3 linked regions of the Sus scrofa genome follow. The protein of the gene in region 3 interacts with the protein of the main gene of each other region in a biochemical or structural test. Links are inferred from orthologs where the notes say so. Each region holds a gene or a part of one and is shown on either strand. Other genes may lie near its edges. The genes, in order: MATK, PTPN11 and SIRPA.

Region 1 (2,829 bases), on a different chromosome or scaffold from region 3:
TGCACCTCTGAATCGACCCCTGGCCTGGGAACTTCCATACGCCGTAGGTGCAGCCTAAAAATAAATAAATAAATAAAATTTTAAAAACTGGAGTCTTTTTGTGGCACAGCAGGTTACATAACGATCTGGCATTTTTACTGTGGCAGCTTGGTTTGCTGTGGAGGTGTGGGTTCCATCCCTGGCCTGGTGCAATGGGTTAAAGGATCTGTCATTGTCACAGCTCTGGTGTGGGTCGAGGCTGCTGCTCAGATTCAGTCCCTGGCCCAGGAACTTCCATGTGCCTCGGGCACAGCCATAACATTAAAATAACAAAAATTAAATAAACAAAAAAAAACAACTAAAAATGTAAAAACTCATTCTGAGCTTGCAGGCCTTGCAAAAACCCACACAGGACTGATTTGGACCCTGAAGCTGGAGTTTGCAGACCCCTGGCTTAGGTGATTCACTTTGCTCAGGGGTCTGGAACCTCTAGGGTGAGGGGTTTCCAGGCCTGGGGGCCACAGCAGGGTAGGCCTCTGTGGGGGTTGATGTGAGTGGGTATGTCCCTGTTTCTGCCCTGACCTCTGCCCCCACCCACCCCTTAGCCGTCCTGCAGGGCGAGTACCTGGGACAGAAGGTGGCAGTGAAGAACATCAAGTGCGACGTGACGGCCCAGGCCTTCCTGGACGAGACAGCGGTCATGACGTGAGTCCTGGTGAGGGGAGAGCACTCTAGGTAGGGGGTCCCAACCCACCCTCACCCCACGCCCGCCTGCCCCCAGGAAGATGCAGCACAAGAACCTGGTGCGCCTGCTGGGTGTGATCCTGCACCAGGGCCTCTACATCGTCATGGAGCACGTCAGCAAGGTGGGAGAGGGGCCCAAAGGTCTCCTGGGGTGGGGGGACCCCCGAGCAGCCTGGAACACTGCCCCACCACGCCTGTGCTCCCCTGCAGGGTAACCTGGTGAACTTTCTACGGACGCGGGGCCGGGCCCTTGTGAACACCCCCCAGCTCCTGCAGTTTTCCCTGTGAGTGGGGCTCCCAGGGGATGGGGAAACTAGGACATGGAGCAGGGAGGGGCCTGGCCTTGGGGGTCTGTGGCCCAGGCACTGGAGCCTCCTGCCCCCCACCTCCCCAACAGGCATGTGGCCGAGGGCATGGAATACCTGGAGAGCAAGAAGCTGGTGCACCGTGACCTGGCTGCCCGCAACATCCTTGTGTCCGAGGACCTGGTGGCTAAGGTCAGCGACTTTGGCCTGGCCAAAGCTGAGCGCAAGGGGCTGGACTCCAGCCGGCTGCCGGTCAAGTGGACGGCACCCGAAGCCCTCAAACATGGGGTGAGCCCCCGCCTTAGCCCCCAGGGACCTTGGAACCTAGCTCCACTCTATGACCGTGGGCCTGTCTCTTGGCCTCTCTGAACCTCCATGGGAAATGGCTCTGCCTCCCCAATAAGCCCTTGGCCCATAATTGTTCCTTTTAGTTCCTTCCTGGGCCTCGGACTCCTCATTTCTGAAACAGTCCTGGGCTCAGTACTGAGAGCAAGGATAACCTTGTTCTTGCACCGAGTCTGAATTGGGGAATTCATGGGAGAAGACAAGAGAGTGAAGTTCAACCCAGGAGGACATCCTGGAGGAAGCAGGGGGTGGAGCAGAAGCCCTGAGCAGTCCCTCCTCACTCTGATCACCCAACAGAAGTTCTCCAGCAAGTCAGATGTTTGGAGTTTTGGGGTGCTGCTGTGGGAGGTCTTCTCATACGGCCGGGCTCCATACCCCAAGATGGTGAGCAGGGTCCAGGGGGAGGGACTGGGTCCCAGGCAGGTCTAGGGGTCGTGATCCTGACCCCCAGCCCACACCGGCATGCTCTCTGCCTACAGTCGCTGAAGGAGGTGTCAGAGGCCGTGGAGAAGGGGTACCGCATGGAGCCCCCCGAGGGCTGCCCGGGCCCCATCCACGCCCTCATGGGCAGCTGCTGGGAGGCAGAGCCTGCTCGTCGGCCACCCTTCCGCAAACTGGCCGAGAAGCTGGCCCGGGAGCTGCGCAGCGCAGGCCCCTCAGCCCCCAGTGGAGGGCAGGATGCAGATGGTCCCACCTTGACACGCAGCCAGGAGCCCTGACCCTGCCCACGGGGCCTCGGCCCCCGGAGGACTGAAAGTGCAGGGCACAGGGTGGGACGTGGGCCAGGCCTGGAGAGGGGCAAGGCCGGCCAGCTGCCTGCCTCGGTGGTGTCACAGGGGCAGGGCTGGGTGGGGGCTCTGGGCCACCTGTGGGCACCCCAGCCACAGGGAGGTGAAGGACTGGCACCTAGATAAAGACTGGTTCCAAGGACTGGGTGTCTGCCTCTCTCTCTGCTCCCCCTGTGTCCACACTGGGGGCCCCCTGTCACTCAGCCAGGGGGCCACCTGCCTGCCCACTTGTCTGTCCACTGAGGGGTTCACCCAGCTAGGACCTTGCAGCCCCCGGGGGCAAAGATTTCCCTGGGGATGGAGCCAGGAGACCCCCAGGCCAGGGATCACAGCCACCCGTGGACCCATTTGCTAATGGGTCCCCACTAATGGGTTCCCCACCTCGTTTGGTGGTGAGGACCCCACTATAGTCCTCAGCATCTCAGGAACAGACAACAGTGGGCCAGTGCCAGAGGCCACAGAGGTCTAATCTCCTGTCCCAGCATCCTCTTCTGCTCCCAGCCCTTGCCCCTCAGAGATGGCATGTGGGAGCCCAGGGAGGGCCTGCCACTGTGGTGATGTCCCTTCCTGGGGAGGCTCTACTGCCACCACCTGTGTTCTCCACCTGTCACGACCCAACATCCTGACCCAGTGACTCTGAAGGACACCGAAAAAAGCCAGCAGCACAG
Region 2 (3,651 bases), on a different chromosome or scaffold from region 3:
CCCAACAAATGGACGTCAATCAATAAGTGAAGGAATGCCTGAATGTTTGCCAACAGAAGTAACTGCACCACACTGGATTAGCAGTTACAAAGTCTCTAAAGTACGACAATATACTTACTTGTCCGACCTTTGAAAGTTTAAGTTCTCTTAATGTATAGTCATGAGCGGCACTTTCTTTGACGTTCCTAACGCGCATGACCCCGTATTCTTTTAGCGCATACTCATCAGGCCAGTATTTGACACATTTACTCTGGAAGGGATCAGAGAAAAGACAGTTAATCTCTGTGAACTCTGGTATGAAAGCCTAAAGCAGCAGAGAACCACCAATGTTTGAGTCTTAACGACCGCTAACTTGGAAGAGAGCCTATCTGGTATCTAACTGTTGGATTTTCAAAGAAAAGGAAAGAAGAGTTCAAATAAGAAAAGTCGGTGCATGGTGAACCAAGGAGAAGTGGGAAGAGAAAGCCACCACTGCAGAGCTGTCTGCCCTAAGCCACAAGTCAGAGGAGAGCCGGTGCTCATTTATTTCTCTCCCAAAGAACCTGAGGCAGAGAGAGGGGAACTACCCCATGCAAGGGTGCTTGTCTAGCAACCACTGAGCTCTGAATTCCGGAATCTGCCAGTCACTCTGCAGGGAAGGCGAGCAGGGACTCTGGAGGTGGATGGGCTGCCCAGTGAGCCAGACTGTCTGGTTCCTTTCCGCACCAGTGTGGGAGGCCTCCGTGCCTTATCTAACCTAAGTGTGAATAACTCCAGCACAGAAAGGCAGCTGATATGGGGTCTGAACCAGCTGCTTTTTCTATATCCAGATCCATTTGATACCTGCTACACATGCCACCTTCACATAACTGGGTGCCTGGGAACGCCAAGCCCGCAATAGCTGCTGGCTTCAGAGCAGGCAGATTGGAAAACATGGCACCAAGAGAATCATGCTTGCTGCCAAAAAGGAAGAGATTTCGCTCACTGAGAGATGAGTCTGCATGTATTTGGTGATGTATCCTGGGCAGAGAACGCTTTTGTGTCTTGTTTTTTCCTGGGAGCGGTCACCCACACCACTCACTTTCCACAACCACCAAGACACAAACATCAGCAAGAGAAAGCTACCTTGTACATCGGGAAAACAGAGAAATTCACTGTTATTACACAAGAAATAAGACAGCAGCTACAGACATTCCCCACGATGATGAAGTGGGGAAAAAAATGGTAGAAGGAAAGTTCGACAGAAGAATTAATGGATGGTGCTAGTTTTTTGCTTGGCACAGTTTATGCGGTCTTTTATTTATTATTCTGAATTTGTCTTTCCCTCTAGTATGCTGCAGATCCAAATACCTCTTTGACAGATTTGATTCAATTTTTATTATCCCAAATAAACACTTACTATTAAGTGTATCAATGCGGTTAGTGGTCAATCCATTCTGAGGACTGCTGGTCGCTCAAGAGAACACAAATTAAACCACAACTCCTAACACCGTAGCTGACACTACACTTCTGCAAAGTACTGTGCTCCCCTCCCAGCTTCCCAAACTCTTGATATAAACCTTGGCAAACAAATTCTAAACTGCAAGCCCTAATACTTTAGCTTTAAATTAAAGCCCAGGAATCAAAGGCAGTCCAGAGTCTGGTTTTCCTTCTGTGCACCGGGGGAATACCAAGGGAGGAGATTATCAGAAGGTCTGCATGAAAATTTCACTGGAGAAGACAAACAGCAGATTATACCCTGCAGAAGAAAAGATTAACTGAAAGATGTATAGCAAAAGAAACTTATCCAAAACAAAACACAGAGGGGAACCAGGTCTCAATGAGCAATAGGACAACTTTAAAGAGCCTAATATACGTGTAATTGGTATCCAGAAAAAGTGGGTTGAGGGTACATATTTGAAGACATAGTAAACATTACTCACATTTGAAGAAAATTGTAAGTCCACAGACCCAAGAAGTTCCATGACTTCCAAGCAGAAGAAATATAAAGAAAACTATACCAAAGTATGTCATAACCAAATTTCTCCTGATCCCTTTTTTCCAGAGGGTAAGAGAAAGTGAAATGTGTTTATTCAGTTCTTAACATGATCAACCTGACATGTCCAATACTTTAAAAAAGCAGAGTATGTAGTATACCTTTCCTCTCTCCACTTCTTTTGTTGTCATGACAATTACTCGGGAGTTCTCCTGAAATACCATCCTCCAAAAGTCATTCACCGTGTTTTGCAGGCAGCCTTGGGTGGCAATGTAACTCTTTTTGGGCTTTGAGTTGTTGCACTTGGTTTCAAATTCAGGCTAGAAATTTAGGAAGAAAATCCTTCAAACATCTGAAAGCTGCTTTTAGGAAGGAAGGATTTATAATACAAAAATCGGCTAGCAAGGTAAAGTCAGAAACACTGTGAAAAGCCAAGTTTACCATGATGATATTTGCATTGATGTAATCTGAAACAGGCTCATTGGGATCACCATCATGTAAGACGACTCTGGTATGATCAACTGGAAGAAAACGAGAGCATAGTCACAAAAGTACCCAGACCTCTCAGGGCAGGTCAGTTCAAATCAGTTCAACCTCAACTTCGTCCAAGTTGTGTTCATTTAATGATTAAACAGCATCAAAAACTAAACTCTAAGTGAATATGACAATAATCTGAACATGAGGCCTCATAATGTTTTCTTTAAGGAGACTAAAGTAGTAATGTCAATTCCCTGGTGTTGATAATGCACTATGGATAGATAAGACATTTTCACTGGGAGAAGCTGGGTAAAGGGTACAAGGGAAACCCCCTACATATCTTTGTAACTTCGTGTGTGAATCTAAAAATCATTTCAAAACAAAAAGGATTTTAAAAAAAAAAAAGAAGAGTAAAGTACAGATAAATAACAATGATATCTGAGATATGCTTCAATATAATTCAGGGAGAGAAGCAAAGTGTAACAGAATATAGATGAATCAAGACTGGGCATGAGTTGACAATTGTTGGAGCTGGGTGATGGGTACCCGTGGGTTCTTTATACTACTCTACTTTTGAATATATTTTAAACTTTCCATAATAAAAAGTTCTTTTAATGAAGTAGCATTAAATACAGTATCTAAATGACAAGATTCTGATGACAATTATTTACTGACTAAATTCTGTACAAAAGTACATGCGCCAACGTCTGCAGAGCAAGGACACAAGCCTGGAACCCCTGAGGATCGTGGTGAGACCCTGGGAGATGGCAAGCCTTGGGGAATCAAAATCTCCAAAAGTGGAATTCCCATCACAGCACAGTGGAAACAAATCTGACTAATATCCTTCAGGACATAGGTTTGATCCCTGGCCTCGCTCAGTGGGTTAAGGATCTGGCATTGCTGTGACTGTGGCATAGGCCAGCGGCTATAGCTCTAATTTGACCCCTAGCCTGGGAACCTACATATGCCATGGGTACAGCCCTGAAAAAAAAAAAAATCTCCAAAAGTGACTGATATTGAGAAATACATTGATACTTACAGGGCAGGATGTTTTTATATCTATTTTTGTTTTTATTTTCTTGCCTCTGACCCTCTTTTCGGCTATAGAGAAGCTTGCACTCCTGTTGTTGTAGTGTCTAGAGAGAAACAAAAGTAGATATCGTCATGCATGAAAAACTTCAAAACACAAACAAAACAAAACACTGACCCAGCATTTCTGC
Region 3 (3,651 bases):
CCATGAGCTGTGGTGTAGGGGGCAGATGAGGCTCCGATCCTGCATGGCTGTTGCTGTGGCGTAGGCCCACACCTGCAGCTCCAATCCGACCCCTAGCCTGGGAACTTCCATATGCTGCAAGTGAGGCCCTAAAAAGACCAAAAAAAAAAAAAAAAATCACAGGTGTTACTGATGAAGCACCTACTATGTGCCAGGCTCTGTGTTTTCCATACATCTTCACTCATCTTACCAGGGTGGTGTCTGTATCCACTTTGTCCAGGAGCAGACACTGAGGCTCAAGGATAAAGAACAGAGACCTTAAAATCATCAGTCCTTTGTGCAATGAGATGAACTCTGACCTTTTCTCCCCGGGTGCCCTTGGTCCGCTGCGTCTCCCCGAGCCGCGTCCCCCCGAGCCTCGTCCCATAGATAGGACCACACTGGGGCCTCCCTCACGGGGCTGGTGGGAGAACCAGAGAGTTGGAAGTCTTGGAGGCATTGGCCAGCCTCGGGCTCGCATAAAAGGTAACCGATCACAGCATCTCGTCCCTTGAGCGACATCCAGGATGCTGGTGTTTTTATGACTTATTCAAGTAACACTTCTTTACTAGGTCCTCAAAACGTTTGATGAGTCTTAGGAAGCAAGTTAAATATTTACCAGTGCAAATATTTATCATATTTGCCATCTGCCGACTTTTACAGGAAGTGTTGGGTAATAATGAACAGTTTGGAGACACCCTAGGGCCCTTCTCCAGGGAGAAGCCCTCGCTTTGGATGTGCGGGTCTCTGTGCTTCGGGTGCTCTGTAGGCCTGTGTCTGTCTCTTCTGATTCAGTAACAATTAAGAAATTAACCATCTTTGGTTTCTCGGCATTGGCTTGCTCCTTCCTTTTCCAAGGCAGAGATTGGCAGATAAGTCTTACGGGAATATCTGGGAAGAATGGAACCTGTGGAGTACATTTTTAATACCTGAAGGGACAGCTCTGGATATAAATACAGTTCAGGTCAAAGAGAGATCCGTGTTGGTTCAGTTTTGTTTAGCATCTTGTGGTTTCCTCAGAGCAAAAATGCTTCCACTGCCCGCTTCAACCCTCGCTGGCACCCTGGGAAGGAGGATGTCCGCTGTCCCATGTCACAGACAAGGAGCTGGGAGGTGCCACGGCCACACTTCTCGTCCAGCCTGGTTCAGCTTCCGTGGCAGTCCCACTATGCCCCTGCTTCCCCTGCATTTACTTCTGTAAACACATCTCTGAAGTTAGTTAAGTTTTCCAGGGGAGGCCGGCTAAGAACAGTTAATGGGAAGAGTGAAACCATCAATCTTTACTCTTGTCCCTGTGCCCAGATTGCTGGGACATCCCCTGGCAGAGAAGAGAAGGACTTTGAACTTGGGCTCAGGTTTCCATGTGGGCCCTACCCAGAGCTCACCTCTGGCAACCTGTGTCCCTTTGAAAGTTGAGGATGGTGACCTGCCAGCCCAGCATTATCAGGGGGATTAAACATAATATGTGCGAAGGTTCTTAAGTGCCTGACGCTTATCCTTAGTGATGGAAGTCACGCTCATGTTGATTGTTTAAAAATGCTCCTTTTGTAGCCAAGCCCTCTCGGCCCGTGGTCTCAGGCCCTGCGGCGAGGGCCACACCTGAGCAGACAGTGCGCTTCACCTGCAAATCCCACGGCTTCTCCCCCAGAAACATCTCCCTGAAATGGTTCAAAAATGGCAATGAGCTCCCAGCCTCCCAGACCAGCGTGGAGCCCGAGGGAAACGTTTCCTACAGCATCTCCAGCACCACCGAGGTGCTGCTGGCCCCGGGGGATGTGCACTCCCAGGTCATCTGCGAGGTGGCCCACGTCACCCTGCAAGGGGGCCCTCCTCTCCGTGGAACTGCCAACTTGTCTGAGACCATCCGAGGTAGATACCCTCACATCAGCCCACGGCCACACCTGCCCCAACCCCCAGCCTGCCCCTCCCCCTGCCTTGAACTGCCTCGAATCTGCTTCCTGACAGTCCTGCCCAACCACCAGGCTCCTGGCTGTGCTGGCCACTCACTGCTGCCTTAAAGGCAGCCGCAAGGTGGACACCAGTCATGTCCAGGCCCTGTGCTCAGAGGTTCCCTGACTCGACCCAGAGCATCTCCAACGACGGAGCACCTGCTCTAAGCCAGGCCCCCGTGTGCTTGGTGATTTCATGGGTTTTGCGCCAGTTATGATATTCCCACCGCATGCCAGGGGCTGTGCTTGTTGATTTCCCTCCTTATACCCCAATGACGGGTCCAGGAGCACCTACTGTGTGCCCTGCACTGTGCTCAGTGCTTTCATTCATAGGCCCAGAGCCCCTCGGTGTGAGAGCACCCGTGCCTGCCTGGCTCGGTCCTGGGTGACTCCCTGCTGTGCTGGGAGCTGGGATCCAGCCCCTTCCCCATGACCTGTCTGTTCCACAAGGTCAGAGCTTCTGCCTGTGCTGTTTCAGTTCCGCCCACCCTGGAGGTTACCCAACAGCCCCCGACGGGGAGCCAGGTGAATGTCACCTGCCTGGTGAAGAAGTTCTACCCCCAGCGCCTACAGCTGACCTGGCTGGAGAACAGAAACGTGTCCCGGACAGAAACGGCCTCGACCCTCATGGAGAACAAGGATGGGACCTTCAACCGGACCAGCTGGCTCCTGGTGAACTCATCTGCCCACAGGGAGGCTGTGCTGCTCACCTGTCAGGTGGAGCATGATGGGCAGCCGGCGGTCACCAAAAACTATACCCTGGAGGTTGTCACTCACCAGAAGGAGCAGGGTGCAGATGCAGTCCTTGGTGAGGCCACCACTCCAACTGACCGGGCTCTTTTTTTTTTTTCTTTTTTTAAATGCTAAAATAATGATTCATGCTTATTCGAGAACAATCTAGAAAGTCGGTAGATATTAAATAGAAGTTTGAAGTGCGTTCCCCTCTCCCAAATCCCATTCTCCAGGAGTCACGACTGGTAAGAGAATCTGGTACCTTCCTGATAGATCTTTTGGCGTAAATATCCTTCAAGAAAGAAAGTAGGGAGAGGAGGGAGATCATCCGGTTCAGAGCGTCCTGCCTCTCGTGTTCACCTACTAACAGCCACTGTGCTCACCACCCCCTGTCCGCCACGTCCCTCCTGCCTGCTCTTTCTTGCCTTGGCTCAGTCTCCCGGCTGCCGTCACAAGGCCGCCCCCTGGGAAGGGGCGCAGGGGCTTCACACCATCTGCGCTTACCTCGGGTACAATCAGGGCTGCGTGCCTTGGATATATTCTGTTACATGCGCAGGTATGTCCGTGGGACGATTTACCAAAGAGCTTTTCTAGGCCCCAGTACATGCCCGTTTAAGACCGTGGGGATGCTGCCACTCTCCTGGGAGAACAAAAGGTGTCAGCCCTCTTCCACCTGCTGTCAGCGTCTCTCTCTTCTTCCTTTAAGATGGCAGCACCTCGTTGGCATTTGGTGCCACTGTGGAATGTTCCATCACCTGTACGCTTGTGTATAGCAGACTCTGAATGGATTAGAATAGAGGCCAGTTCCTTCCTTTGTGCTTCCTTCAAGGGAACGGCTCTGAAGAAGCCTTGGGGCCTGCCAGGGTGCCCTTTGCTGCCACAGATGGCTGGTTTTCACAGGATAGGCCCAGCACTGGGAGACAGGATGGGTGGACCCACTCTGGCTGTCACA

The links.
Region 1: the proteins of SIRPA (region 3) and MATK form a complex in vitro, tested with the Homo sapiens proteins (3 studies listed by BioGRID, with this or other methods). The link is inferred for Sus scrofa from reciprocal best matches to the Homo sapiens genes SIRPA and MATK.
Region 2: the proteins of SIRPA (region 3) and PTPN11 form a complex in vitro, tested with the Homo sapiens proteins (2 studies listed by BioGRID). The link is inferred for Sus scrofa from reciprocal best matches to the Homo sapiens genes SIRPA and PTPN11.

The regions. Positions count from the first base shown.
Region 1 is NC_010444.4:74,916,666-74,919,494, forward strand, and holds the end of MATK (megakaryocyte-associated tyrosine-protein kinase), read left to right. Parts: intron 1-584; coding exon 585-684; intron 685-760; coding exon 761-845; intron 846-933; coding exon 934-1,007; intron 1,008-1,120; coding exon 1,121-1,316; intron 1,317-1,670; coding exon 1,671-1,757; intron 1,758-1,852; coding exon 1,853-2,092; 3' UTR 2,093-2,308; downstream 2,309-2,829.
Region 2 is NC_010456.5:39,229,522-39,233,172, forward strand, and holds part of PTPN11 (tyrosine-protein phosphatase non-receptor type 11), read right to left. Parts: intron 3,568-3,651; coding exon 3,471-3,567; intron 2,476-3,470; coding exon 2,396-2,475; intron 2,275-2,395; coding exon 2,116-2,274; intron 251-2,115; coding exon 119-250; intron 1-118. UniProt on the Homo sapiens protein: Acts downstream of various receptor and cytoplasmic protein tyrosine kinases to participate in the signal transduction from the cell surface to the nucleus. Positively regulates MAPK signal transduction pathway. Dephosphorylates GAB1, ARHGAP35 and EGFR.
Region 3 is NC_010459.5:33,583,011-33,586,661, reverse strand, and holds part of SIRPA (tyrosine-protein phosphatase non-receptor type substrate 1 precursor), read left to right. Parts: intron 1-1,569; coding exon 1,570-1,887; intron 1,888-2,445; coding exon 2,446-2,775; intron 2,776-3,651. UniProt on the Homo sapiens protein: Immunoglobulin-like cell surface receptor for CD47. Acts as docking protein and induces translocation of PTPN6, PTPN11 and other binding partners from the cytosol to the plasma membrane.